4 linked regions of the Pelodiscus sinensis genome follow. The protein of the gene in region 3 purifies or fractionates together with the protein of the main gene of each other region. This does not show direct contact. Links are inferred from orthologs where the notes say so. Each region holds a gene or a part of one and is shown on either strand. Other genes may lie near its edges. The genes, in order: ERCC6L, ANKRD52, PLK1 and ANKRD28.

The links.
Region 1: the proteins of PLK1 (region 3) and ERCC6L purify together in Homo sapiens (affinity purification with mass spectrometry; 9 studies listed by BioGRID and IntAct, counting the BioPlex papers as one, with this or other methods). This does not show direct contact. The link is inferred for Pelodiscus sinensis from reciprocal best matches to the Homo sapiens genes PLK1 and ERCC6L.
Region 2: the proteins of PLK1 (region 3) and ANKRD52 purify together in Homo sapiens (affinity purification with mass spectrometry; 3 studies listed by BioGRID and IntAct, with this or other methods). This does not show direct contact. The link is inferred for Pelodiscus sinensis from reciprocal best matches to the Homo sapiens genes PLK1 and ANKRD52.
Region 4: the proteins of PLK1 (region 3) and ANKRD28 purify together in Homo sapiens (affinity purification with mass spectrometry; 6 studies listed by BioGRID and IntAct, with this or other methods). This does not show direct contact. The link is inferred for Pelodiscus sinensis from reciprocal best matches to the Homo sapiens genes PLK1 and ANKRD28.

Annotation. Positions count from the first base shown.
Region 1 is NC_134723.1:1,974,564-1,982,270, forward strand, and holds the start of ERCC6L (DNA excision repair protein ERCC-6-like), read right to left. Parts: upstream 3,012-7,707; 5' UTR 2,927-3,011; coding exon 2,871-2,926; intron 788-2,870; coding exon 1-787. UniProt on the Homo sapiens protein: DNA helicase that acts as a tension sensor that associates with catenated DNA which is stretched under tension until it is resolved during anaphase. Functions as ATP-dependent DNA translocase. Can promote Holliday junction branch migration (in vitro).
Region 2 is NC_134729.1:3,913,272-3,920,212, reverse strand, and holds the start of ANKRD52 (serine/threonine-protein phosphatase 6 regulatory ankyrin repeat subunit C), read right to left. Parts: upstream 3,019-6,941; 5' UTR 2,895-3,018; coding exon 2,868-2,894; intron 1-2,867. UniProt on the Homo sapiens protein: Putative regulatory subunit of protein phosphatase 6 (PP6) that may be involved in the recognition of phosphoprotein substrates.
Region 3 is NC_134726.1:39,869,437-39,876,274, reverse strand, and holds the start of PLK1 (serine/threonine-protein kinase PLK1), read right to left. Parts: upstream 3,019-6,838; 5' UTR 2,938-3,018; coding exon 2,542-2,937; intron 1,908-2,541; coding exon 1,739-1,907; intron 1,457-1,738; coding exon 1,312-1,456; intron 273-1,311; coding exon 179-272; intron 1-178. Other genes in the region: ras-related protein Rap-2c-like, read right to left, coding at 5,917-6,537. UniProt on the Homo sapiens protein: Serine/threonine-protein kinase that performs several important functions throughout M phase of the cell cycle, including the regulation of centrosome maturation and spindle assembly, the removal of cohesins from chromosome arms, the inactivation of anaphase-promoting complex/cyclosome (APC/C) inhibitors, and the regulation of mitotic exit and cytokinesis.
Region 4 is NC_134712.1:194,231,220-194,239,084, reverse strand, and holds the start of ANKRD28 (serine/threonine-protein phosphatase 6 regulatory ankyrin repeat subunit A), read right to left. Parts: upstream 3,019-7,865; 5' UTR 1,843-3,018; exon of another isoform or gene 1,390-1,842; 5' UTR 1,340-1,389; coding exon 1,223-1,339; intron 83-1,222; coding exon 1-82. UniProt on the Homo sapiens protein: Regulatory subunit of protein phosphatase 6 (PP6) that may be involved in the recognition of phosphoprotein substrates. Involved in the PP6-mediated dephosphorylation of NFKBIE opposing its degradation in response to TNF-alpha.

The sequences.
Region 1 (7,707 bases), on a different chromosome or scaffold from region 3:
CACTGTTCCTAGGAGGGACCCTTGACAGGCAAAGTCAAACAAGGACCACATCTCACGTAGGTTATTTTGGACTGGTGTCCCTGTGAGGAGGATGCGGTTTTTTGCAGGAATAGCATACATAGATTTAGTAGTTTTTGTAGAGGAAGACTTAATTTTATGGGCTTCATCAAGAATAATGTAGTCCCAGACAAATTCTTGTTCATTAAAGCTAGAAAGTTGCTGCCAGTTATAGATCACCATTTGATACGTTGTGATCACTACACCAGTCTTTCTTTGGACTCTCTCTAGGTTTCTGTTCCGCTCAGTCTTGCTGGTGCCATGGAAGTCTTTCACCCTCAGTCCTGGAGTCCACTTGGCAAACTCTCTCCTCCAGTTGCTAACAAGGGTGGTTGGCATGACCAGCAGTACAAACTGTACGAGTTCAGCATCAAACATCCCAGAAAGGAATGCAATGATCTGGATAGTCTTTCCCAAACCCATGTCATCTGCCAGTATGCCCCCCTGCCTTCCATCGCGGTAGAGGCTGTATAAGAAGGCCACGCCTTCTCTCTGATGTTCAAAAAGTTTGTTGTGCATCTCTCCATAGATGGTAAGACCACTGTTACACACATCCACAAACCCATCCTCCTCCTCTGTGGCAAGTGCCAGCTCTGCAAGTGTTTCCTCAAGCCTTTTGATTCTGTTCCTCAGCTTTTCACTGGGATCAATTTCATTTGCAAGTTTGAAGAATTGAAGCGACTCTTCCAGATTTCCCTTTCTGGCCTCTTCTTTTGCCTGAGCCACATACCTATAGAACACAGGACAAAGCAGCAATGTTTAAATATATTAACTTCTAAAAACAACATATAACAGCTCTGCCATAATTAAGAGAAAAACCAGCTTTCTGTTTAGAAGCTTGACTGTTTTAGTTGCTTTAAACTCTATACAGGTAATTAGATTGCCTTGAAATTTAGTGTTGGGACACAGGATACAGGCAGTGATCCAAATTTGGGGGCACTTCACCCAGAGGTTGCTGGGGACATGTCTAAAAAAACAAAACCGTTCTTCTTAAAGTTGACATTCTGGCAAATTCTCGCCCACAGATAGAGATCAGCACACAGGGTCAAGAACAGCTTGAGGGTTACCCTAACGATAGAGCCCTTCCCCCCCCCCCCCCCGTTTTCCTCTTCCGTTCCCACACAGGAGAGGTGTATTTTATCTATTCATTTTCTGGATTTGATGTTGAAATTTGTCATTTCCTGCATTTCAGCTCACATGGGGGGGTTGGCTGGGAGAGCGACTGACAGAATGGGTCAGCTGTAAGAAAAACGGTGGTAGTGGTGGTGTTTTACACACACACACCCAGCAACCACCAGGTCACCCCCACTGGGTCCCAGGGTGTGCGCAAGGGGCTGGGCTTTGGGCTGCACAGTCAAGTGGCCTGGCCTGGCTCGGGGGGGGGCCCTAGGAGCCACATGCGCAGCCCGGGGCAGGGGGCAGCGAGGGACACTGGGCACCGTGCCAGGCTCTGGTGGTGGCAGCTGCGTGCCTCAGTTTCCCTCCTGTCCAATGGGAAGAAGGCGACAGAGCCCCCCCCGTAGAATCCCGGCCTCCCCCGGCATAGAGACCCCCCCCCCCTCCCCCGGCGTAGAGGCCCCCCCGCCTCGAGCCCCCCCGCGTAGAGGCCCCCCCTCGAACCCCCCCCGCGGAGCAGAGCCCCCCCCTCACCCGGCGTAGAGGCCCCCCCTCGAACCCCCCCGCGGAGCAGAGCCCCCCCCTCACCCGGCGTAGAGGCCCCCCCAACCCCCCCACGGAGCAGAGCCCCCCTCACCCGGCGTAGAGGCCCCCCCAACCCCCCCGCGGAGCAGAGCCCCCCTCACCCGGTGTAGAGGCCCCCCCAACCCCCCTGCGGAGCAGAGCCCCCCTCACCCGGCATAGAGCCCCCCCGAACTCCCCCGCGGAGCAGAGCCCCCCCTCACCCGGCGTAGAGCCCCCCCGAACCCCCGCGCGGAGCAGAGCCCCCCCTCACCCGGCGTAGAGCCCCCCCCCCGAACCCCCGCGCGGAGCAGAGCCCCCCCTCACCCAGCGTAGAGCCCCCCCGAACTCCCCCGCGGAGCAGAGCCCCCCCTCACCCGGCGTAGAGCCCCCCCCGAACCCCCCCGCGGAGCAGAGCCCCCCCTCACCCGGCGTAGAGCCCCCCCCTCACCCGGCGTAGAGGCCCCCCCCGCGGAGCAGAGCCCCCCCTCACCCGGCGTAGAGGCCCCCCCGCGGAGCAGAGCCCCCCCTCACCCGGCGTAGAGCCCCCCCGAACCCCCGCGCGGAGCAGAGCCCCCCCTCACCCGGCGTAGAGCCCCCCCCGAACCCCCCCGCGGAGCAGAGCCCCCCCGAACCCCCCCGCGGAGCAGAGCCCCCCCTCACCCGGCGTAGAGGCCCCCCCCGCGGAGCAGAGCCCCCCCTCACCCGGCGTAGAGGCCCCCCCGCGGAGCAGAGCCCCCCCTCACCCGGCGTAGAGGCCCCCCCCGCGGAGCAGAGCCCCCCCTCACCCGGCGTAGAGGGCCCCCCCGCACGGAGTAGAGCCCCCCCTCACCAGGCGTAGAGGCCCCCCCCCCCGCGGAGCAGAGCCCCCCCTCACCCGGCGTAGAGGGCCCCCCCCCCGCGGAGCAGAGCCCCCCCTCACCCGGCGTAGAGGGCCCCCCCCCCGCGGAGCAGAGCCCCCCCTCACCCGGCGTAGAGGGCCCCCCCCCGCGGAGCAGAGCCCCCCCTCACCCGGCGTAGAGGCCCCCCCCGCGGAGCAGAGCCCCCCTCACCCGGCGTAGAGGCCCCCCCCGCGGAGCAGAGCCCCCCCTCACCCGGCGTAGAGGCCCCCCCCGCGGAGCAGAGCCCCCCCTCACCCGGCGTAGCGCCCCGCCATGGCGCGCTGCGGGGGCCCGCTCTCTAACTGCGCCATAGCGCGCTGCCCGCCGGCCGCCGCTTGAAATGCCCGCCGCCTTCCCGACCTGCCCCGCGCGGGGCCGCCCCTCAGCCTATCACCCGCAGCATGCAAATGAGAGCCGGGCCCATCAGCCAATCGGCGCTTCTCAGCTGCGGCAAGGCGGAAGAGTCACGGGATGGGAGGAGAGAGCACGGGGCCAATGGGGGCAGGGGAGAGCATGGCGGTAGTGGGGGGGGGGGAGCACGGGGCCAATGGGGGCAGGGGAGAGCATGGCGGTAGTGGGGGGGGGGAGCACGGGGCCAATGGGGGCAGGGGAGAGCATGGCAGTAGTGGGGGGGGGAGCACGGGGCCAATGGGGGCAGGGGAGAGCATGGCGGTAGTGGGGGGGGGGAGCACGGGGCCAATGGGGGCAGGGGGGAGCATGGCAGTAGTGGGGGGGGGGGAGCACGGGGCCAATGGGGGTGGGGAGAGCCTGGTGGTAGTGGGGGGGGGGGGAGAGCACAGGGCCAATGGGGGCAGGAGAGAGTATGGCAGTAGTGGGGGGGGGAGAGCCTGGCAGTAGTGGGGGGGGGGAGAGCCTGGCGGTAGTGGGGGGGGGGAGAGCCTGGCAGTAGTGGGGGGGGGAGAGCCTGGCGGTAGTGGGGGGGGGGGAGAGCCTGGCAGTAGTGGGGGGGGGGGGAGGGGTGCACTGGTGGGAGCAGAGGGCATAGGGACAGGGTGGGAAGCAGGGTCACCGCCTGGGCAGGGGAAGGAAGCAGCTGACTGTACCTGAGAGGAAGGGGCTAGGCTGCCATGTGTGGCATTTAAATAATCCCCCCCACGCAATGAGCCCTCTCCACACCTGTTACACTCATCCTTGGGCTCATTTACTGCTCAGCTTCCCAGCTGATTCTCCCCTAAAGCCCTGCTGGGATCCTTGGCCTGTGTCTGGCCGCACAGACAGGTAGGATCCTGCTTTAGGGATTCGCAGTCTCAGTCACCCAAAGGGAAATCATCCAATTCTGTGACCCATGTACCCTCTCTCAGAGACGCAGCAAACTCATCAGAAGATGCAGGCTGGAGGCCTATTATTCGCCTTTGCTGTACCTCCCCACCCACACACATTGTTCTCAACACACAGATCCACTAACGTTTTGCCAGAATATGCCAATGCCTCCCGCAGTTTCTCTGAGATGTTCTCAGGAAAGATGCATCTGGTCACATCCATTGTGCTACTGAGGAAACACACAGGCCCAGCGAAAGCGAACCCTCCCTGGGAATATCTTTGGGTGGGAGTGTCAGGGCAGTGAGGCTTCCAGCAGGGGCAGAGGAGGCCTGGTACATCATGTCCCAGGGCCAAAATGGACACAGCAGGGAGTGCTTGGCTCTGGAGGGCTACGTCTAGATTGGAACGATTTTCCGCAAATGCTTTTAACGGAAAAGTTTTCTGTTAAAAGCATTTGCGAAAAAGAGCGTCTAGATTGGCACTGATGCTTTTCCGCAAAAGCACTTTTTGCGGAAAAGCGTCCATGGCCAATCTAGACGCGCTTTTCCACACAAAAGCCCCAATTGCCATTTTCGCGATTGGGGCTTTTTTGCGCAAAACAAATCTGAGCTGTCTACACTGGCCCTTTTGCGCAAAAGCTTTGTGCAAAAAGACTTTTGCCCGAACGGGAGCAGCATAGTATTTCCGCAAGAAGCACTGATTTCAGACAGTAGGAAGTCAGTGTTCTTGTGGAAATTCAAGCGGCCAGTGTAGACAGCTGGCAAGTTTAAATCTTGCCAGTCTAGACACAGCCGAGAGCATTTGCCCTGACAGCAGTTTGGAGGACATACACACTGCTTGTATCCCAGGACAGAGGGCAGGGTAGAGTTTTTTTGGGAGCCCAACTCTGCACTTACAGGGCTGCTATGGGGCCAAGATTCAGGTGCACGGAGCAGCATCTCTGGTGGTACATCCCACTGGCTCTAGTCCACACTATCAACCCCTCACTCTGGCAACATGAACACCTAACTGTCCACAACTGTTGTCACATTTCCAGCAGGACAGTGAAAAACTTCAGGGCCTGGTGGTGAGGCGCACGTGCGTGCGTGTGTGTCCCTGTCTCGGATCAGTGTAGCATCAGCAGGCACCTAGCTGCCGTGCTCTGGCCCGTGCTCTCGGTGCCAGAGCTATCTCCTCCGTTTGTACATCTGCAGTCACTAACACAGCCCCATTGGGGCTACATCTAGACTGCAAGCCTCTTTCGAAAGAGGTTTTTTCAGAAGCTACTTTCGAAAAAGCCTCTTTCGAAAAAGAGCGCCCAGACTACAACCAGTACTTTCAGCGTCTAGACTACAAAGAGCACTTTTGAAAAAAGGTGTTCTTCCTCATAAAACGAGGTTTTCCACGGTAGAAAAAACTGCCACGTTCTTTCGATTTACTGTTGACAGAACGCGGCAGCAGGCTAGACACACCCTGTGGTTGTTTGGTGACTGGTCGCTGTGGAAGAACCTTGTTTTGTGAGTAAGCTGCCTGTCAGGGCTCTCTTGGATCACTCCCCTCATGGGCCTGAGTCAGTCTGCAGTGGACTGCACTGCCATTTCTCACCAGCATGGTGTGAATGGCGAGGTGATCACAAGCCAGTGACGTGGAGTAGTGCAATATGGCTTCAGGGTTCAGTGACAATTCACGGCCAGTTACAACTGCTCTGCTTCTCCAGCAAGGGCAAACCTATCTACTGAGTATCTGCGACCTTAGTGTCCTGCTGGCCACTAATAAGCAACTGGGGGCAGGGGCTCGAGGGGGACATGGGAAGGGAGAACTTCTTGTGATCTCACAGTTCCACCAAGCCATGACTTCCTCACTGGCACAAACCAGTGACCATGAATTGTCCCCCTCATCCCAATGGCATGTGGATGATTTATTTCAGGCCAGCCCCTCTGACTGTCCACTTCTGCCAGCACATCGCCATCTGTCACACCATGGGGCTTCCCTCCAGCTTATCTTCCTAAGACAATGTGCTGTGTAACTCTCATTGGGATCCCTCGACATGCAGGATGCAGCTCCATCCGGAATGCACACTCAGCCGGGGACCAGCAGTAGCACTGACCGTGCCACTGAGACTAAGGGTGTGTCTAGACTACATGCCTCCTTCGACGGAGGCATGTAGATTAGCCACATCGGAAGAGGGAAATGAAGCCGCGATTAAAATAATCGCGGCTTCATTTAAATTTAAATGGCTGCCCCGATCTGCCGATCAGCTGTTTGTCGGCAGATCGGGAGAGTCTGGACGCGATGCCCCGACAAAGAAGCCTTTCTTCATCGACACAGGTAAGCCTCGTGAAACCAGGTTTACCTGTGTCGATGAAGAAAGGCTTCTTTGTCGGGGCATCGCGTCCAGACTCTCCCGATCTGCCGACAAACAGCTGATCGGCAGATCGGGGCAGCCATTTAAATTTAAATGAAGCCGCGATTATTTTAATCGCGGCTTCATTTCCCTCTTCCGATGTGGCTAATCTACATGCCTCCGTCGAAGGAGGCATGGAGTCTGGACACAGCCTAAGAGCTGAGCAGTGTCCAAGACAGTGTTGCCTAGCACAACTATCCAAAGCTGGCGTGGGGAGGGTCCCAAACAATCAAATGGTGGTTTGGAAGAGAGTAAACTCTTGTGGATCAGGGCAGAAGCCAACGGCAAAACTTTGTAGTTTGTTTGTTTGTTTGTTTGTTTGTTGCAGGGGCACTTTGAGGTTTTTGGCTAATTACAAAATTGCTAGAGAAACAGACCAAGATAGCTGATTATTTTTAATTCCAGGAGGGACCACTGTAGTCATCTAGTTTGTCCTTTTACATAACACATAGAAAATCCCTCTGTCGGCCCCCATCCCACAACTAGAGGCTGTTTTAGAGTACGTGTTTGGGAAAGATAGTCACTCGAAGTACAAATTCCAGTTGCCTGGAGAATTCCTCAGGAAGCTGTTCCAATAGATATTACAAATCTGCCGCTTATTCCCAGCACAGCACTCTCTGAGCACAGGCCCAAAGACCCGGAGAAGTCCTGGCTGCAGAAAGAGAGGCAGCAGCTTAAGGAAAGGAAATTCAGGGAGCAGGAGCTGAGGCAGCAGCAGGAAAAGCAGCACCCACAGAGAGTGGAGTGGAGCTCTGGATGAGTGGTTGCTAAGCCCCGACCTGCCCACTCTTTCACCTTTTACATGTTCTTATATAATAAAAAACACTGTTGGGGATTGGTGTTTCCAGGAACCTGGAATGACAACAACTAGTTTCACTCCTTCATACTTATTTAAATAACACAGAGATGATTTTATGACTGAACCTGGGAATAATGTGTCAGAACTCTCTGGGTAGCGCATAGCAGTGTTTCTATTCCGTAATCACTGCAAATATTTCCACGAGTCATCACCAGGGCTGTCTGGAGTTTGAACAGCTGAGCCCACGTTGTAAGGAAATGGACTTTTTCTGTAGCCATATTGGAAAGCCTAAAGCTGGATGTCCACTTATCCTGAGTGTGGCCAAGTTTCCAGTGGTCCCAGAAAGTTTGTTTACAGCCACCAGTCCTGGCTCTCAGTGTTCTGTGCTGACATTTACTCTAATTTACCCGATGGCTGTGTCTAGACTGGCAAGTTTTTCCGCCAAAGCACCTGCTTTAGCGGAAAACTTGCCAGCTGTCTACCCTGGCCGCTTGAATTTCTGAAAGAACACTGAGGGTATGTCTACACTACAGCGCTAGTTCGAATTAACTTAGTTCGAATTAGTTAATTCGAACTAAGCTAGTTCGAACTAACGCATCTAGAACTAAAAACTAGTTCGAACTAGCAAG
Region 2 (6,941 bases), on a different chromosome or scaffold from region 3:
CTCCTGGTTCTAGCTTTAGTTGCCGTAAGACTTGGCTTTAGCCAGAAAATGCCGACACTGAACTTCCTGGTGGCCTAAAATGGATCTTGAAGGACAAACAGTTATTTATGCACTCGGACTCCAGGTCTGTCCCTAGCATCACCCTCCGTCCCCACCTCTCTGCTCCTGGAGGCTGAGACCACACAGTTAACAGGAGCTGTACCCTGGACAATGGACTTCAGGGGAAGTCAGAATCCCAACTGGCATCTTTGGTTCTGACGGCACAGGCATAACACACCTGCATCAGCAGAGGCAGCCCCACGCTTTGGCAGCTACCCTGCACCTCTCTGCCAGGCCCAGACTACCCGCCATTGTTTATCCTGGGCCTTTCCGTCTGTACAGAAACAAGTGCGCTGGGGCCAGGACTGAAAACAAACACCCTCGGCTCAAGGCAGCCCAGTAAGTCAGCTCTCTGCACCAAGCACTGGAGACCACAAGCCCCCACGGCATCTGCTCAGTAGCCGGAACCTGGAACTTGCATTTCCAGGGCAGACTTCCCGCCCCTGCTCCCCAGCTTCCCGCTCATCCCCTCCGTCCAAACGCAGGCATGAAAGCAGCTACAGGTGGGGGGGATCAGAGAGAAGGAGCGAGTCATTTGCGTGGAATGCAGCGGACTTAGTACCAGCATGAGGCATTTCAAAAACAAAAAAGGATGCACAGCCGATAATTATGCCCTGCACAGACCTCAGTGGCGCTTGCCGGCAATGCTGGGACGGACACACCCACCTACCATTCACAAGGGAAGCTGCATGTTTTGGTTACCCAAAAAAAAAAATTCTATTTAAATCTTAGGTCAGCTCCCCTTTTCCTTCTCTCCCTGACACGTGAGGCTTTAAAAACCTGGCCTATCAGTGAGATTGCAACAGCAAGGGACCAAGGGAGGGGTAAATATTTGGCTTCAAAGAGTCAGAAGCCTGGCTCTCAAAAACAAACCTGTCACATCAAATCAGGGGGTAAAGATTAGATGTTGGTAGGCCAGGGGAGGGGGATTGGAGGACAAGCCAGGAGAGAAGCAAAGAACAATGATGCATCAACATATCCTGCCTTAGGAAGATGAAGTATATACACTGCAGGGAGAGGGAAATAAAAGTCCCGCTTCTTGCAAAAGCAGAGATGGTTGAAACCTGACCTTTTTAAGAAGGGCTGTGACACAGTGAACTGGTAAGCATGAGGCTTTCTGATATGCTTACATGTTAACCAGCTGATCCACCCTTGCTGGTGACCCCCAGGGGTGGCTAAAGCAGCCCCCATAGCAGAGAGACCAGCCGGCTGGGCCCCATAGCCGCTGCAGGGCCAGACTCCAAGTTAAAATGGTTCACCGGTGAAGCGCTAGCATTTAACCGGTTAACCATTTTAACATCCCTATTTCTAAAGGAAATGGTGCGTGGTGATGGAAGCCGCAACAGTCGCTCTTCCTCACACACACACACACCCCTTTTGGGGAGTGGGGGTACCTACTGAGATCAGGCAGCCCTGCTGAGCTGGGTGTTGTCCCACAAGCCAAGTGGTGTGCAAACAGGCCTCACATCTGCCCCCAAGGAAAATGGGGCTCAAGACCCGTGTTTGTAGGGATGCTGAATCACACATCCCCACCCCAGACAACAGGGGACATGCAAAATGCCTGCCAGCACGCAGGGAAACGGCAGGGCATGCTACCCCACTCCCCAAATAACACAAGTGTGTGGGGGGTGAGATGAATTGCCCTTTAACTTGTGAAAGTGGGGTGCCCACTGTGGATGATGCCAAATCAACCCCCCCTCTCTCCAGAGGGAGGCTGAAAGAAGGGGAGAGTGGGGTGCAGAGGGAGCAGGCAGGAATAAAGGCGGGGAGACTCAAATCCTGTCCAGGACATTTTTTGGGGAGGTTGCGGGTTAAAAAGGTTGGATGTGGGGGGGCTGGTGGAGACGGGGTCAGGAAGGAGATGGGCACAGGAGGGCCAGGTGGCAGGGAGAAGATGGGGAGACACCGATGGGGGGGGGAGATGCAGGCAGGCCCAGCGGGGCGGAGCTGGTGCGGGGAAATGGGGCAGCAGGTCGGCAAGGAGCAAAAGATGGGGGAGGGACGGAAGCGGGGCAGAGGGGGGTCCTGGGGGCAGGCGGGAGGAGGGGCGAGGAGTGGATGGCGGGAGCAGAGAGGCCGGGGGGTGGGTGGGGACCCGGGGGTCAGACGGGGAGGGGCAGAGAAGCCGAGGGGGGCAGAGACTGGGGGGGCGGGGGGGCAGAGAGGCCAGAGGGACCCGGGGATCAGGAAGAGAGGGCAGGCGGGGGGGGGGGGCGGGAAGACCCGGGGGTCAGGCGGGGGGGCAGGGAGGCCGGGGGGACCCAGGGACCGGCGGGGGGCGGGCGAGGGGACCCGGGGGGTGGAGCGGGGGGGGGCACGGAGGCCGGGGGCCGGGCGGGGAGACCCGGGGGTCAGGCGGGGGGACCCGGCGGGGGAGGCGGGGGAACCGGGGGGCGAGGGGGCCCGGGGGTCAGGCGAGGGGGGGCGAGGGGGCCCGGGGGTCAGGCGGGGGGGCGGGGGGACCCGATGGGGGGCGAGGGTTGCAGGGGGGCGGAGCGGGGTGGGCACGGAGGCCGGGTGGGGGGACCCGGCGGGGGGGGGCAGGAAGGCGACGAGACCGGAGGGCGGGGGGGGCCCGGGGAGACCTGATGGGGAGCGGGGGTTGCAGGGGGGCGGGGAGACCCAGGGACTGGCGGGGGGGCCCGGGGGCCGGGCGGGGGGGCCGGGCCCGAGGGCGGGAAGGAGGCAGCGCGCGGCGGGGCCGGGCCTTGGGGCGGCGCCCGGCGGGGGGGGGGGGGGGCCAGGCCGCGCGGCCGGGGGGGGGGTACCTGGTCCGCGATGCTGAGGATCCCCATCTCCGGGCCTCAGCGCCGAGCTCCCGGCATCAGGCTCCGGCCGCGGCGGCTCCGGCTGCGGGGCGGGGAGGGACTGAGCCCGCCCACCGGGCCCGAGCGCAGCGACCCCTGCCGGCCCGCGGCCAGCCCGCCCGCGCGGGGCGGGGCCCTGGAGCCGGGGGGGGGGGGCAGGTCCCATGGATCCCCGAGAGGGGGGGGCCAGGCCCCATGGATCCCCGGGGGGGGGGCCGGCCCCATGGATCCCCGAGAAGGGGGGGGCGGGCCCCATGGATCCCTGAGAGGGGGGGGCCGGCTCCCATGGATCCCTGAGAGGGGGGGGCCGGCTCCCATGGATCCCGGAGGGGGGGGCCATGCCCCATGGATCCCGGAGGGGGGGGGGCAGGCCCCATGGATCCCTGAGGGGGGGCCGGCTCCCATGGATCCCCGAGAGGGGGGGCCAGGCCCCATGGATCCCGGGGGGGGGGGGGCGAGATGTGTGAGTCTCCAGGGGGGGTGACCTGGGACCCATGGAGCTCTGCAGTGGATCTGGGGCCCAAGAGGTGCTGGGCTAGGTGCCAGGGCCTCAAAGAGATCCTCTCTGACAGAGGAGGGTCACTTAGGGCCACCCCTGCCAGCAGTGCCTGGACCCTGCAGCCTGGACCCCCTGGACAACCTGGCACCCCCTTTTTGCCCTGGGGTGCATCACTTCTCCTGAACTTTGCCATCGCCTCAACAGGGGCAATCCAGGTAAGTCCATTTTGCACGTGGGCCTGTGAGCTTCCCTCAAACCCAGTCCATCCACCCCACATGGTTGGGTCTCAGCTGAGACGGGTGAGCAAAACAATAGAGAAACTTGGGCAAGTTAGGTGCCTCAGTGTCCCCCCAAAGCCTGTGGCAAGAGGTGAGGAACAGCCCTACCTACACGTCTGGTCAATTGCTATAACCACAGGGATCTACCACCATTTCCTGATGGCTTCCAAGTGGGATGGGTTGGTAGCCCCTGTAATAAATAAGAATTAAAAGCTGATCAAATTATTACATTCATTCTTTGCACTTCTATCTGAGAATCCACTGACTTGTATCTAGTATTCACAATAAAAAGTATCTAGTATTCACAATAAAAGATTACCTCTAATCTTTTCCATCCATGTGTGGATTTTTTCCCACCCTGTGTGGAATAATTTTTTGATGTGCACTGAGGGATGTGCACCACCAGTAGCAACAAAAAGTCTAGCTATGGGCGCTCTACTAATCAGCTGGGTAACATTGGAATTTCTCCTAAGCAGCCGCACAAGTGCACGTTTTCCAGAGAACACTCCTAGCACAGACCAAGCTGCCTCTCAGGCCTTGTTTACAAAGGGTTTGCTGGTACGGACACAATGGTAATCCCCCTAGTGGAGACAGCGATTCCAGCAAAACGGTTTTTCATTCTGTTCGCCCAATGGAATCGTTAAGACTTGCCAAATATTTTTGTTGCCGCTAAAACTGTGTCTACACTAGATCTTTTGCCAATCCAGGCCTATCGGTTGGGGTATGATTTTTTTTACGCTCCTAACAAATGTAGCTATACTAATCATATTGTCGAGTAGAGACCGGACCTCAGAGTGGAAAGTTTGGTCCTTTGTGGCTATCCCTCTCATCTGGAAATCAGGAGGTCCGAGTTTTACATGGACTTGACTCTCTGATTTTAGGAAGCTGAAACAGAGGGGTGCCCAGTGAAGTGACTCTCATAGACGTCAAGGCCAGAAGAGACCGTCATGACTGTGTAGTGCAGAATTCAGATCTCTTTCTTCAGGTGCCTTCCTAAAATCTCCTGGTTTCACCATGTACACAAGAAATTAACTATTAAACAGTTCTCATTTCTGTGCCAGTCTTTTAGGTCCTGATCCTTTAAAACTCACTCCCAGGTGTAAATGCTTCCATCTATGAATTCAAAGGATCTATTTATGGAAGTACGCATTGCGCTTGGTAGTAGATGTTTTCAGGATTGGGATGTTATATTGTAGGTTGTAGGTTCTTCAGACCAAGGATTGTTTTGATACCAGAGTAAGGATAAGGATGTTAAATATTGACTAATCGATGCCCTAGGGTTGTTGCTACACTTCAAAGGCAAAGGTGCCATGTGGAGCCTGGGGTCGGCTGGGCTTGATCCTGGGCTCCATGCAGTGCTGCCTGACACTGGGCTCCCCATGGTGTTTTAACATGGCAGCGCTGCACAGAGCCCAGGATCGTCAGGGGAGTCCCCAGTTGATCCTGGGTTCCATGTGGTGCTGCCCCTTTGAAACTCTGCATGCAGCCTGGGGACACTGCAGCTGGCCCCAGGCTGCATGTGGTGTTTCAAAGGGGCAGTGCTGTGTGGAGCCTGGCACCAGGCTTCAAGAGGTGCTGCTGCTTTGAAGTACCCCCTCTTCTTTGCTGCCTCTGACCTCCCTACATTTTGGGCCCCCCTTATCCTTCCTTTGTCCCAAGGCTGCCAGGTTTGGCTAGATAGAGGCAGCAAGGAGGATGGGGAAGGACTAGTCAACTATTCTTCACATCCCTATACCAGAGCACCTAGCATATTGTCTTTGCTTAACAAGTAACAAATCATAACAACAAAGTGGTGCTCTGTGGACCCCAGATAACCATTGCTGAATGACTCTAATAGCGACCTCATAGGCAAGTGAAACCTGCCAGACAAAAGGCCCCAAAAGTGGCTCACAAATCTTTACCAATTGATCCTGGGACATTTCAGCGGGCCTTGTAGATGTAGGGACCTGTAGTCTCTACTAGGCAGCTACAGTTCAGGAGAGCTTCCAAAAGCTGCCACCCTGGTGCTTGTTGGGGCAAGTTTTGGGAGCGCCTCAAAGAAAAAGTCCTGTTTAAAGAAACAAGTGATCGGTGCAACCAGAGGAGCTGAATAACCATTTTCTGCTGTGGCAAGGCGTTTCTAATTGCCCTCTCTGTCGCTATTTGAGGGCGCCGCTTTGAATAGCTGCCTCTGTGTTTTGAAACAACATCCACAGACATATTTACATTGACTGCCATGGAGCGTGGTGGGGACATAGTCTGGGGGGCTGGTGGGGCAGCACCACTTGGGGCTCTACTTTTGATCTCCGGTTGAACTGAGCTCAGAGGAGGAGCCGGGAAGCTGTTTGTACTGTTGATACTGTAGCTGGGCTATTTTTATCATGGTTTTGGACCATTAGCCAAGTGTTACCTACCAGTGAAATCAAGGTGAAATCATAGCACTGAAAAGCCATGAAGAGCAGCTGTTGACATTTTCACCAGTGACATATTTCCCCGAAGGAGGAAGCAGTCGGACTAAACCTTCCCTGGCATCACAAGATCAGCAGCCTGGTGCATCTGGAGGACTACTCCAGTCATTTGTAGTGTAGCCTCTCTTTTTCTTCTCTCTTTGCCCACAAAGGAAGCAAAAGGAGGGGATTCCTAGTCCAATTCTCTGATAGCTGGGGTTTGAGCAACATTCGGTAACTGGCTTCCCCAAAAGAAGATGGAATTAGATGATTCATAGATTCCAAGGTCAAAAGGGAATGGTGGTGAGAATGAAAATAGAAGGACATCTGGAACTGTTTAGACACTAACTGCTAATCAGTCCCAGGATATATTGCTTAGCCCAGAGGTGGGCAATAATTTTTGCAAGGGGGCCACTTAATGAATTTTGGTAGGTGGTCATGGGCCGGCAGGGCCTGGAGTGGAAGGGGCAGAGCATGGGGCTAGCCTCCCTCCAGAGTTGTCTGGGGCTGGAAGCTTTGAATTAAAGAGCTGGCTGCCCTGTGCTGGGTTGCTGTGGCGATTTAAAGGGCTCACAGCTCCAGCCCCTGCTGGGGAAGCACCACGACTGGCAGTCGTGAGCCCTTTAAATACAATCCTGCTGCCTGAGCCACTGCCTGGAAATTCAGTGGCCCGGGCAGCAGGATATAAATAGAATCTGGCCAGATGCAGTCTGCAGGCTGGATCAAAGTGTTAGGTGGGCTGGCTCCGGTCCCCGGGATGCATCTTGACCAGCACTGGCTTAGCCCATCGATCTAGGAGTCAGGACTCCTGGGTTCTGTTCATGGCTGCAAC
Region 3 (6,838 bases):
TTTACTTCAGCATTAACTCAGCTTTCCCACGGAACCCCGTTCTATGCTTGTTTTCTCAAAAACAGAAGTGCCAGTGAGTCCAATGGGCTCACTCCCAAGTTAAGTGCACTCTAAGCACAAGCAGTCTTAGCTCTATTGGCTGGCAAGACTAACTCCCGCTCTGCAGCAGGCTCCATACCTTGGGGATGTTGTACTCATTCTTCTTAATTCGGATGTAGGTTTCTTTTAGACAAGAGGTTTCAAAGGGTGGTTTCCCTACCAGAAGTGTGTACCTGCATATTTAAGATACATAAGAGCCTGTCACAAGGAGAGCACACGATTTCCACATGAAGGATCATTTGCAGCAGGGGGATGAGACACCCAGGAGATGCAGGGCAGCAGGCAATTGTATTTGAAATGCCAGGTAGATCTCCAGTTCCCTGCTCCTTAGGGGAGGCAGCTGGAATCTGGTACCCTTGGGAGAGAGAACCGGTGAAACTCGGGACATCAGGTCTTTAAATGGACAGGATTCAAAATAACTTTCACTACAAGAAGTAAGCCTGCAAAAGCCAGTGGTTGTGGGTACAGGTAGGTGCACACACAGCAGCTGGCAGGTCAAGGCAAACAGGAACATTGTTCTGATAGTCAGATCTGAGGAGTTTTCCAGAGATAGTCAAGCTCTGATTACAAAGCAAACGAGTCATGAAGGAAGCTGAGACTCATCACCCATCTCTAGCCCTTGGTCACTGCCATTAGGAGTCTTGCTAGGGCAGCCTAATTTGCAAACCACTTTTTAAATTGTAACCTTTAAGACCCATTTACAGCCATATAGATTTGAACCAAGCTAGCAGTGTTCTAGCAAGAACTCTTCAAATATTGTTCTCACTAGAGACCAGCACATAGCTACATCTCAGGGCAATTCAAGCCTTAGGCCAAGTCTACAGGGTAGTGAAAAGTGTCTGTATAGACACAGCTAGGACAGTGGAAGACTTGTTCCACAGACGTAGCTAATGCACCTCTCTTCTGAGGGGTGGATTAATGCCATCGAGGGAGAAAGTCAGTGTAGAAAGTATCTGCACTATACCACCACAGCGGCTCAGCTACACCACCATAGCTGGGCCATTCTCACAGACATACCTTAGTCTGCACTTATCCAGGTTCTGGCCTGGACCTGATCACTTTTGTTTTATAGTGTCTCCTTTAAGAGGCTCCTCACAAGCTAAGATTAACTTAAAACCCGGACCCCAGTCTAGCGGACTGACCATGGCAGCCCTAAGTCCCAAATTTAAGGGCATGCAAACTAAAAACCTGAAGATTTGTCATGGAACGTACATAATGCAGCCGATGGACCAGATGTCCACTTCAAAGCTGTGTCCCTTCTTGCCCAGCACCTCGGGGGCGATGTAGTTTGGTGTCCCACACAGCGTCTTCTTACGTTCACCATCATATTCTACTTTGGTTGCCAAGCCAAAGTCACCTGGGAAGATTTAGGTACAAGAATATTTGCCTAGGGCCAGGCCGGGCACCAGGGAGACTGGTTTCCTTAGCTCAGAGTTCTCAGGCAATGGTGCGTGGACAGTCGGTCTCATCCTGTGAGCAGCAAGTGGCAGAATTATGGGCTACATCCCTCCAATACGGAGTCGGCCCATCCAAAGCATGGGATGTGCTCGGATCGGGACTTTACAAGGCCCGGAATCCGCAGCGAGCGGCGGGGGCTGGGCGGGCTCCCGGACCCGCTCTGTGCTGCAGGTGTCCGTACCTATTTTCACCTCCATGTCGTCGTTGAGGAAGAGGTTGCCCAGCTTGAGGTCCCGGTGAATGACCCGGTTGCTGTGCAGATACTGGCAGCCCAGGATGGTTTGCCGCAGGTAGTAGCGCGCTTCCGGCTCGGTCAAGGCTTTCCTCCGCTTGTGCAGCTCCAACAGCGACTGGGGGCCAGGAGAGAGGCAGGGTGATGAGCACCCCCAGCCCAGAGCCTGCCCCTGCTGCCTGGGGACGCTCTGCGGCGGGCACCCCCCCGTCCTAGCTCCACTGAGGAGAGTAACGTCGGGAAGGCTTGGGAGCACCCCCCACCCTGCACCGCTGCGCGGGGCTACTGGCCCTTTAAGGCGCTTCGAACGCTCGGACACGGTGGAACGCAGAGACAGTATCAGCGTTTCCGGCTGCGGCCCCGCTACCGCCCCCAGCCCCGTCCCCTGCGGGAGCCCCCCGCCCCCCCGCCGGGCCGGCAGCGCCCCCGCCGCAGGACAGGCCTGAGCCCCACGGGGCCCACGTCCGTCTGCAGGAAGGGAACGGGCCCGGCCGCCCCGCGTCCCGTCCCCCCCCCCCCGGCCGCCCCTCCCCCGCCGGCGGCCCCGCGTCCCGTCCCCCCCCGGCCGCCCCTCACCCGCCGGCGGCCCCGCGTCCCGTCCCCCCCCGGCCGCCCCTCACCCGCCGGCGGCCCCGCGTCCCGTCCCCCCCCGGCCGCCCCTCACCCGCCGGCGGCCCCGCGTCCCGTCCCCCCCCGGCCGCCCCTCACCCGCCGGCGGCCCCGCGTCCCGTCCCCCCCCGGCCGCCCCTCACCCGCCGGCGGCACAGCTCCAGCACCACGAAGACGAAGTCGCTGTCCTCGAAGAAGCCCTGGAAGCCCACCACGTGGCGGTGCGCCAGGCTGCGGTGGATGGAGATCTCCATGGACATCTTCTCCTTCTGGTGCGGCTTCACCAGCAGCGACTTGGGCACGATCTTGCCGGCGAACACCTCCTGGCCCTCCAGCTCCGTGATCTCGTAGCACTTGGCGAAGCCGCCCTTGCCCAGGAAGCGCCCGCGCATGTAGCTGCGGCGGGTGCGGGGATCCACCAGCACCTTCGGGATCTCCTTGGCCACCGCCGTCGCCCCGGGCCCGGGCCCGGCCGCGGCCCCCTTCCCGGGCTCGGCCGCCCCCGGCGGCTTCGCCCCCTTCCCGGACACCGCGCTCATGCTCCCGCCCTTAGCCCCGCTCTCGCCGCCGGCCGCCGCGACACTGTAACAATTTCAAACCTCGAGCCGGAGCGTTAGCCGCGCCCAGCGCGCTCCCCATTGGCTGCTACGATTTAAAATCCAAGCCGCCCGCCGCTAGGCACCATGGGAGCCCCCCCGCCCCGTTTAAAGGGACAGCAGCCCCGGGCTCCGCGAGCGGGCAGCCGCGAGCAGGGGGCGTCGCCGGAACATCCGGGCTCGCCCTGCAACATCCGCCCCGCTGTGCAGGCCCCTGCCCCACAGGTGCAATCCTTGCCCCAGCCATCCTGCCCCAGATGTGCAGCTCTAGTCCCTGCCCCCCACACCTGAGATGTAGGTCTAGCTCCAGCTCTCTGCCCCAGATGTGCAACTGTAACCCAGCCACCCCCTCCTGCCCCAGATGTGCCACCCTACCCACATGTGTAGCTCTAGCCCCAGCCATGCTGCCCAATGCACAGCAACCAGCTACCCTCTCCCAGATGTGCCACTAGAACAACCTCCCCTTCCCCTGTTGCACTTTCACAGCTTCCTCAGTGTTGCAGGCCTAGACCCAGGCTTTGCACTCGCTGCTTCATGCAGTGTAGGAACTGGCACCCCCAGGCACTGATCGGTGGACAGGTCACTGCTAGGGAAGAGCAAACATTCGCTTGCATCAGGGCCCCCGGCACAGCCTGACAGCCACAAGGGACCAGCCAAATCCCAGTAAGTCATTTTCTGAATGATTCTTTTTCCCCCTCTGCCTGCTGAGCCATAGGTGCTGGGGGGAAGCACATTACCTGACTTGAAGTGGTTTCTGTTATATATGGGACCTACAGTTTGGTTCAACAACTCTCCCACGCCATTTCTTTAAGTCCCAGGCATTAGCTTCTGTTGAAGGGGGCTATTAGACCTGATGGATGAAATAACCTAACCTGGTGCCACAACTTCTATTAATGGTGTGTTTGTTGAAGCATTAAAGGTCCAAATGTTAATCAAATGGATTAAAAACTGATCTGATACAAGCACAAACAAATTCATTGGAGGAGCAAATAATTCATTTGGGCCAGGTGATACAGATGAAGTTTCCAGTAAGACTGACATGAAAACAAGTTTGCTTGCTCACTCGCCTCGTGTGAGGTTTGTTTTTATTTTGTGACAGTTGTGCAGTTAATGGAAATTAAGCAAACTCGTAACCAAACAAGCCTATTCCAAGCAGAATTTACCCCAAGAGCAAGATGTGTCAGGGACTTCTCTGTGGGAAAGTCACATACTGTAATGCCAGGCAGCCACATAAGCCCAACAAGCAATAGGAGCCCTCTGTTTTGAGAAGGCCCAAGTCAGGCCAAGGTTACCCCTCCGTAGCATGAGAAACCCTCACATAGCACTGAGCTTGGCGCTGCCACTGCAGTGGCCTCCTAGGCAGCTTGCCTGTGTCTGGCCTCCACGGCTCAGTGCTCCTCCTCCCTCCCCCGGTTCAGCCTCTCACTTGCATGCTGCCCGACTGATTTTTCTGTAGGTCAGTGGCCCCTGCTCCAAGAAAAGGTTCCTCATCCTAGGCATATGGGAAGCAGACTAGATAGCAGCACTCCTGGAGCCTGAATAGGGCTCTGCCTGCCCCCACAGGACCCAGGCACTTAAATCATGTGGGGAACAGGTCCATGGGTTTCATTACAGGGAGCTAGAATGGTCATGGAACTACAGAAGGAAGCAAGTACCTTCATGCACATCTGGGTCACATTACAGTATGAAGCACTGTTTGGGTGGGGGTAGGTTCTACAATACACCTGCTATCCCCCCCCCCCCCTTATTTCCTTTCCACACCCTCCCACCACAGCTGGAGAGACTTCTAGCCTGCTGCTAGTCCAGCATGAGGGAGTCCTAGGGAGCCTGTTAACTAAGATACCATCACCCCTGAGCCATGGCAAGAAGCATGGGCTGGACTTACCCAGCCCCGTGCTGTCAGGTCTGCCTGTTTTTAGTGACAGGTTCCTGCTCCCCCACACTCAGAGGTGCTGTCACTCCACCCTTGTCTCCTTCAGGAGATGCTGCTTTGGGAAACATGCGCTGCAGGGGGGGTCATTTGGCTTCTCCCCCAGAGGGGCTCCCTGACCAGGACGGTCCCCACTGCAGTGCATAATGGAGGCCTGGGCCGCGTCCCAGGCTGTTTGCATCGCCAGTGCCTCTGGGCTCGGTCCTGGTGTGAAGAAACTGCATGAGCCCCAGCAGCACCTGCCTTGCAAATTAAGCCCTGTTCTGTCCCTTGTGGGATCCCTGGCCAGCTTCAGAGCTGCAGCTCACCGGCCTGTGCCCACGGGCAAAGGCACAGCCCTTTCCTTGGAGGGAGGTGGGTGGTGGGACTGACTGCAGGACCAGAGGTGGAGCAGCTGGGCTGCTTGATTTGTGTAGTAGAAGCTCAGCGCCCAGGTGCCAGCATCACAGGGGACCCTGCAGGTCAGGCCCCTACAGAATAGAAGGGGCAGGTGTCCCAGGGAAGGGATTCTGGCTGCTGACTGCTGAGACCTCACATTGTTGGAGGGGAAGCCATGGCGGAGGTGGGACCGGCCTGCACGGAGCATGAGAGCTCATCCTACCATGCCAGCTGGAAACCGCCCCAGAGCTCGGGTCCAAGCTAACTGGAGCCAGGAGGCTGCGCTTTGAGGCTTCCCCCGCCCTCTGAACCCAGCACACGGGAAGCGAGTGGCTGGTCACCGTCCGTGCGCTCTCCCTGCTCGCTGCTCCCGCAACTCTCCGCCTCCCGGTGCCTGGAGCCCCCACCCTGGAGAGCCGCCCTGAGCCAGCCGCGGCTGGCGGGCAAGAGAGGCAGGCACGGACCCCCGTCCAGGCGGCGGTACAGGGGGAGCAGAGTCCGCTCCGTGCCCGGCTTCTGGGGCCGTCAGCGACCGCTGGCGTCGGGGAACGCTCCGGAACGCGTCGCTCCAGCCAGGCGGCTGTCGGGGACCCGATCCCGCCCGGCCCCGGGCCCTAGCAGACGGCGCAGCTGTGGCTCTTGGCGCCGCGGCGGGGCGGCTCCTTGCCGAAGGGCTGGGGCCGGCGGCGCCGCAGGGCCGGGCTGAGGCGCCCGGGCAGGTTGACCTGGCTCAGCAGCTCCTGGAAGAGGCTGAGCACGTTGCGCCCCTGCTTGGCCGAGGCCTCCAGGCAGGTGCAGCCCCAGTCCCGCTGCGCGACGGCCACGCGCGAGTCCGGCTGGCCCGGCGCCAGGTCGCTCTTGTTCCCCACCACCACGATGGGCACCGGGCCCCGCCGGGCCTCCAGGATCTCGTCCCGCAGCCGCTGCACCTCGGCGAAGGAGTCGGGCTCCTGCAGCGAGTAGACCAGGGCGAAGGCGTCGCCGCGGCCGATGCAGAGGCGCCGCATGGCCGGGAAGCTGTAGCTGCCGCTCGTGTCCAGGATCTCCAAGCGGAGGCTCAGCCCCGAGCCCGGCTCCAGTTCCAGCTCCAGCAGGTGCAGCTCCTCCACCGTGCGCCGGTGCCGCGCCTCGAACGCGTCCTGCAGGAAGCGGCGGATCAGGGCCGTCTTGCCCACGCCCGCCGCCCCGAAGAACACCAGGCGCACCCGGGCCTCGGGCGCCAGGCTGGGCGCCATGCAGCGCCCTGTCCCCGGGCCGCCCGCCGCCAGGGAGTGCCGGGAGCCGCCCGCGCCCGCTGCTTTATAGCGCCCGCCGCGGGGTGCGGCCGCCAGCCAATCCGCCCGCAGGGGGAGGTGCCCGGGGCCGACACCTGCCGCCCCCCCGCCAGGGAGAGAGAGGCAGGGGTGCGGAGCGGCGAGGGTGGGGCCTGGGAGTGGCGGGGGCCGGGTGGCACCGGGGGACACGGGGAGAGGGGGACACAGGAGGAGTGAAGGGGGGTCAGGGGGCCCGGGGGAGTGAGGGAGGACGGGGGCCATA
Region 4 (7,865 bases), on a different chromosome or scaffold from region 3:
GAAAGTTAACATCTTCCTTCTTAAATATTAATGCGCGAACTTCATCAGGGTCCCCATTAAATATGGCTTGAACCAGTGGTGGCTGAAACAAAAGAAAGTAGTAATATTCAAAAACAAACATTCCAGTCCCATGCATTACTGCCACTGTATGTTGGGGGGGGGGGGGGAGGGGGGAGGTGGAGGAGAGAGGGGATAGTTATGACAACATAATGGACCAAATGAATACTAAGATGTCATCCTGGGTAGCAAAATTTAAAAATTAACTATTGAAATACAGCAAAATTTGGCAGAAAGTACGTCTTTCTCTCCCCCACACTCCAATACACTTTACCATCTTGTACCATCTTGTAAACCACTGGATTAAAAATATAGTTTTCTATATTTTTAGATTTTAAACTAATCGTTTAAAAAAAACTTTAAAATAAATCCTTGTGGCAAAATAAGATTAGTCAGTCTAGGATACATTACATACTATTCAGAATATATGTAATACTCATTTTACATTAATTAGTAACATTAGAAGTTCTCATGTGTTTGGATAAGAGTAAGGAAACAGAGTACATTTAAATGATATGGTGACATGCAAGTGTGCACACAGGCATTACTAAATATAACTAGACTTCCTAATCAGCAACATAAACTTTTGTGATATGATATCATGATCTAAGTCAAACAGTAAGTTAGTCAAGAAAGCAAAATAATTTTGTTTAAGAAACCAAATTTCTTCAACACTTTTTATAAGTGATGACGTGAATGCACAACTACATTACATCTATAATCTGCTTTTCATAACTTTTTATTTTAGTGTGCAACTGATATTGCTTAAGATACCCTAGATACTATACCAATTCTCAAAATACACACAGCTTACCACATTATAAAGGTTACATCAGTTTCTAAAGAGGTACTGAACAGATACACTACTAAGAGGTAGGAGAGAAAATGTTTATTGCAAATATTTTTGTCAGACTCTCCGGAAAAAACGTACCATCATAAAACTAACCTTCAAAAATACTGTTATGCATAAAGGAGCCCTTACAAGTTTTAAATCCATTTCTAAATTTTAAAATATCTTGCTGCTTAATATAGGTAGTTTTAACTTCACTAATCAAAACTATTCAATCAACATATAAAAACCCCAGGTGCTACGATGCTTAGTCATGTAAAACCTATAACAAGAATTACTAGATTTTGCAACACTATTACAGAAAACATATCTTACCAAAACATTTCTGGAAGATGAAGAGCGTACAGATATGATTTCCTGAGGTAATTTTGAAGAAAATGTGGGAAAATCATCTTCAACCTCCTCCAAAACAACTATACACACTCGACTCATTCGATCCGTTTGAAAAAATTGTATTCAGAACCACACTGTAGTAACCACAGCTGAGACAGCACAGAAAGGACTTTTACCTCCTGAGTATATAGTCTCAAACATAACTTAACACTGTTGCTGGTATTTTAAAACTTTAAAAATGCTTCCCCCCCCCCCCACTACATTTAATTTAACACCCTGAGATGTTCAAACAAGACTGTTTTAAATATACATACATTTATATTTTTTAAAGACAAGATTTCGCCTGTGCTACAATACCAAATTTATGAAAAAAACTACTAAAAATATTCTTAGTTCTAACTAGATTATAGTAGAAATTTCAATATAATAAATATCTATAGCATGTCCTTTTACCAGAAAATCTGCCTTTGTTAATATTGCTAAAGAATAAATTTATCCACACAGTGAAATCATTGTTGTAGATGACAGGACACCATTCTGTATAGCGTGAAACAAGGAACAATTGCTCTGACAGAGACAATCACAGCTACAGTGAGTCTTACAAGGTCAGTCTTCAATTTACTGTACTAGGCTTTCTGATGATTGAAAATAAAACATCACTGTACTAAATGTATCAGGTTCTTATTCTGCAATTTTGGAGCTTCATTTTCCGTAATGTCAGGAATACTTCACACAAAAATACATCTATTTTTCAGCAATGATTCATAACATGATATTCCAAGGTTGATAATTCTTCCCGATGTAATAAAAATCTCTGCAATGTACAGCAGAGCTGCAGTACATTTACATGCGATGAGTCAGACCAAAAAGGACAATGAGACTTCTGGAATTATAATATTGCCTGTTTAATCCAGATTTTCCAAGTGACAGAAACAGATAGTTTTACTCCATCAGTGAAACAAGTAATGCAGAGCATTCATTTTTCCTCCATCAGGCAGTTGCTGTAGCTGCTCCAAAAGGGACCCACTATGCAGAAATGCTGTTAAGGAAGAAAGCTTGCTTGTTTTGCTGAAGTAACCAAAAGCTCCAAGTGCTCGAATTACTGCCTTAGACTTCTCCTGCAACAGCAGTTCATCATTCAAGTGTTTCTTTTGATCACCAAGTGAATACAGCTTCCGTTATAGTCTTCATTCAGACTGTGGAAAAAAACGAGATTCTGTGCATCTTCTCTGAGCCAACTTCATGCAAATGTCTGTGCCAACCGGATTTCACTACTAGATATCAGTTTTCTGTTGCTGATTTTCAGATTGTATATTCATTCAGTAGATAGTCCTGTAAAGCTCTGAAATCCCACTGTCTGAATTGGTCATTACAGAACACGTTAACAGCGCACAGTTCACACTCAAAGCAGCATTCAAACTGAGCAATAGTCTAAAGAGCACAGACTGCAGACCAGCAGGATGAAATGCCGGTAATGCTCACATGTTACACTTACCAGAGAACTAAGCTACTGCTCTGGATGCAACTTCCTCTAGCAAAAAAATAAACAAACAAACAGTGCCTTTTGGGAAGCCCTCACAGTCAGAATGCTTGTGCCAGTTTTGTGACTAATCCAGCTCATACGTAAAAATTCTATAATTGAAGAAAGAATGAGTGTTTAACATTTTCCACTAAAAGCCACAAAAAAATCTGGTATACTGGCTCTGCTGACTGACAATTAAGCAAGTAAACAATTCCAACATTCTAACTACTTTCACATGTTACTGTACAGAACAACCAGGCAATTATTTTACTCTGAAGACAAAAAAAAGTATTTTAAAACAGAAATCCCCTCTAAAAACTGAGATATAAAACTAGCTTTCAATGGTCAGTACTTTAAAGATAAATGTAAATATTACTTTTTCTACTAAACACACACAAAATCTATAAGTCTGAAAAATGAAACCAAGCATACCATAGCGCTCATTAATTTCACAGTCTTCCAACAAGCTGAATTTATATTTTGATTTGAATTTGCTTACAGTAACCATGCTGGTCTGTGGGAGTATTATACAACTGCATCATATGCCATAAACTGTTGGAAATATATCTGCATTAAGCAAACTGTTTTTTGTTCATAAACAATATAAAGTTTTTTGATGGCTATTGATTGCTGAACAATTCAGATTATAAAAGTAGAACAGGTTGAATAATCTAGGTGACTGATCAAAAAACCCACAGATGAAATTTGATATTGAAAACTGCAAAGTAATGCACTTTGGAAAATAGGGATGTTAAAAAGCAGGTAATTGGGTAACCATGTAACTGATGAAAATCCAGCTGCCGGTGCACACTAACTCCAGGTTCTTAATAAGCAGCAGGTTTAAAACATAAGGAAGTATTTCACACAATGAATGTAGAGCCAACCTGTGGAACTCAATGCAGGGGAGATATTGCAAAAGCGAAAAATAACTAGGCTCAAAAAGGAACTAAGTAAGATCCCGGAGGACAGATCCATCAATGACTATTAGCCAAAAGGGTCAGGGATGAAACATGTTCTGGGTGTCTCAAAGGACTGCCCACCAGATACAGGGACTGGATGACAAGAGACAGAGCACTTTGTGATTTCTCTCTTCTATTCACTCCATTTAAAACATCTGGCATTGGTCACCATCAAAAGCAGGATTCTGGGTTACATGAATTACTAGTCCGCCCATTACTTTCATTCTTTTGTTCTGATCTGATGCTTTTTTATTAAAGTGTTCTTATTCTGAACTTCTATGTACCAGTTCAGGACATGACTACAAAAAAACCACCACACACGAAAAAAACCCACCAACCACACACCACCACAACCCACAGAAGGTATCTGTTTTTACTGCTTTGGATACTAATAGATGTATTTTTTTCAAAAGGTTAAGTAGGAATAACTGATTCCCATCAGCACTGTCATTCCAAAGCACTGTAGACATTTTGAAATCATATGCCCACTAGGGAGGTCAACCTGTAGGCGACTATATGATTAACTGATAAGCCTAGGTTTAAGTATAGTTACAAGCTGGGGTTCAAGCATAGTTACAAGCTGGGGACCAACCGGTTAAGTAGTAGTTCTGCAGAAAAGGACGTGGGGGTTACAGTGGATGAGAAGCTGGATATGAGTCAACAGTGTGCCCTTGTAGCCAAGAAGGCTAATGGCATATTAGGTTGCATTAAGAGGAGCATTGCCAACAGATCCAGAGATGTCATCATTCCCCTTTATTCGGCTTTGGTGAGGGTCCAGCGGAGGGCAACCAAAATGATTAGGGGGCTGGAGCATATGACTCATGAGGAGAGGCTGAGGGAGTTGGGTCTGTTTAGTCTGCAGAAGCGAAGAGTGAGGGGGGATTTGATAGCAGCCTTCAACTTCCTGAAGGGAGGTTCCAAAGAGGATGGAGAGAGGCTGTTCTCAGTAGTGACAGATGGCAGAACAAGGAGCAATGGCCTCAAGTTGTGGTGGGAGAGGTCCAGGTTGGATATTAGAAAAAACTATTTCACTAGGAGGGTGGTGAAGCACTGGAATGGGTTACCTAGGGAAGTAGTAGAGTCTCCATCCCTAGAGGTGTTTAAGTCTCAGCTTGACAAAGCCCTGGCCGGGTTGATTTAGTTGGAATTGGTTCTGCCTAGAGCAGGGGGCAGGACTTGATGACCTTCTGAGGTCTCTTCCAGCTCTGTGATTCTATGATTCTAAGTTAATCTTGTTGACTACATGCATTTCCCCTCCCCCTCCCCTTACTGCCCCTGTATCAGAGGCAGGGTGGGAGAAGAGAGCAGGAGCTGCTTAAAAGCCATCTCTCTCCAGCATTGGTTCCATGGTGCCACCTATCAAAGGCAACAGCAGGGGGAAGGGAGAGGGAGAGACAGAGGAGGCCGTCACAAAGCAACCTCTGTCCTCAGGGGGTCCGAGCTCCCCAGCAACAGCCTGTGTCCATGGGGAGCTCAGACTGCAGCCTTCCCCTGCGCCCTTCCCTCCCCCCAGCAGCCTCTGTCTGCGGGAACTTGGAGCGCCATGAACAGAGGCTGCTGCCACCCCGAACTGCTGTCTCTGTATTAGAGAGGGCAACGCAGGGCAGCAGGCAGCCGGTTTTTAAACTGGCTCCCACTTGGCACCCCGCACTGCTGCCTCAGAGGGTATGTCTACACATCAAAGTTAATTTGAAACTACAGCCATTATTTTGAATTAACTTTCCTAGCGTCTACACAGCCAAACCGATATTTCGAAATAAAATCAAAGTAGCGGGGAGCTTATTTTGAATTTGGTAAACCACATTCTACGAGGAATAACACCAAATCTGAAATAGCCACTTCGAAATAAGCACTGTGTAGACGCTTATTCCGAAATAGGGGGCCTCCAGCCCTTCCCAGTTTCCCCTGGTGGACACTTTGGGCCAAACCAGGAAAACTCTTCTCCTTTACCCCAGGCCCGGAGCCCTTAAAGGGGTAGACTCTGGCCACGCTGTATGCCAGAGCCAGGCCTGCCAGCAGTCACTGACCCTCACCCAGTGGCCAGAGAATGAGCCAGGCAGCCAGTGCCAGCCAGATGTCCCCCGCCCAGTCCCTCAGCTCCCAGGAGCCAGCCAGGGGCCAGAGACGGCAGGCGCCCTCCTGGACTAGTGCAGAGATCATGAACATCATTGAGATTTGGGGGGAGGCCTCCAATGTCCATGAACTCCGCACTAGACGGAGGAACGCCTCTGTCTACAGATGCATAGCTGGCACCATGGCCACCAAAGGCCACATGTGCACACAAGAACAGGTGTGTATGTAGATCAAGGAGCTGTGGCAGGCATTCGTGAGGGCAACTCAAGGCAGCTCCTCAGCAGGGGCAAACACCTGCCCCTACTTCGACGCCCTGAACCGTATCATGGGGCGGCGGGATGGTGTGTGCCACACTAGGGGGCAGCAAGCCAGGACCAGAGGAGATACCACGGAGGGTGCCACGCTGGCTGGACCCCCGAGTTGTCACAGCAGCAGAGTCACCAGAGTCATCCAGGGAGGCCACACCATGTAAGTACCATCACTGTCCCCTTACGGGGCGGGGGGTGGGGGCCGACCAAGGATCACGTGTGGGCCTTGCTTACCACGAATCATGCAGCAAACTAGGTACGTGCGAGCACGTGCTGTGCCAACCATGGGTAGGTGGCTCCAGCTGTGTGCCACACAGGGGCCATGGCTGATAGCCTCACACGTGTGAAGAGACCTGACATGCTCCTGACCCCAGGGCGGGACACAGCAGGACACCCTCCCTTCACAAGCCCCCTCTACACAGAGGTAGGGGACACCTCCCCCCCCACCTCGGCCGCACTATACACAACACAGGGGCATGGGTGCGGTCTCAGGGCAGCTCCCATTCCCAGGGATAGCCGGACATTCCGACTATGGCCTCTGTACAAGCACAGTGGCTCTGACGGTACAGGGCACGGTCATCCTCACCTCGCAGAGGGGGGCTGGGAATCACCCACTATGTCCACAGGAAGAACTGACCACTTCTCCTCTTTCTCCACAGCCACACCAGCTGCACGTGCAGGGTGCACCACCCTGCTCGGGACATCCTCCCGCACCCGAGGGCTCAGCAGGTCCACTGCAACACTGCAGGGGTACCGAGACCAGCACCTGAGGGCCCTGCGAGCCCTGCACTGTACCATGGAGCAGTGGTTGCAGGATGAACAGGAGTTTTGGCCGGAGCTGCCTGCCCAGGGTCATGCCATCTGTGCCCATCTGCAGACCCTGGTGCAGAGTGTGCTGCCTCATGTCGCTTCAGCGCCTGCTGCCTCCCCAGTGCCTGCTCCTCCTCCCACCTCAACCTCTACTCCCTCCTCCTCAATCTCCACATCCCCCACCTCAACCTTTACACCCTCATCCCCATCCCCCCAGGGACACCGAAGCCCCTGTAGTGCTAGAAGACAGTTGGCCTGGCAAGATCCCCCCTCCCCCACCCTTGAGCTTCCCCCTTCCAGCTCCTTCCTCCTAGGTTTTCCCCTCCCCTCTCCCACCATCTCTCCTCCCCTCTCCTTTCCCTAGTCTCCCCAGAATTTCATACCCCCTCCCAGTTTTGTTAAGTAAACAGAGTTTAAATTTTTGAAAATACGTGTATTTTATTTGACATCAGGAAGGGGGGCTAGGGAGGGGTAAATGGAAGGACATGGGGGAGGAATGAGGCACAAGCCCCCAGTGGGACATGGCAGGAAGGCTCTCAGTGCTCCTCAGAGTGGAAGCTCTCCTGCACCTCCTGGATATTGACAGCCCCCCGATGGACCTCCTAGATGGCAGCCTGCAGAAAGTGCAGCCAGGTTTGCTGCAACATGTGCAAGAGAAGCACCAGAGTGCCCAGGGTGATTTTTGAACAAGTCACAACTAAGGACATTTGACTAAAAGGAACGATTTTATGTTCTGGCAAGCTTTAGGCGTTTCACTAATCTGTTTACTTGGGAGAAGTGAGTGCTGTCCATAGAATGCAGGAAGACTGAGGTTTAAAGAACAAGGCTCAGGTACATTTCCTACAGATGTTCTTGAAGAACAAGGGAAGAGACAGAAAATATCAACAATAAAATTATTACATGTAATAAAGATTTCCATATGTCAGCAAATTTCTCAAGATACAATATGCACT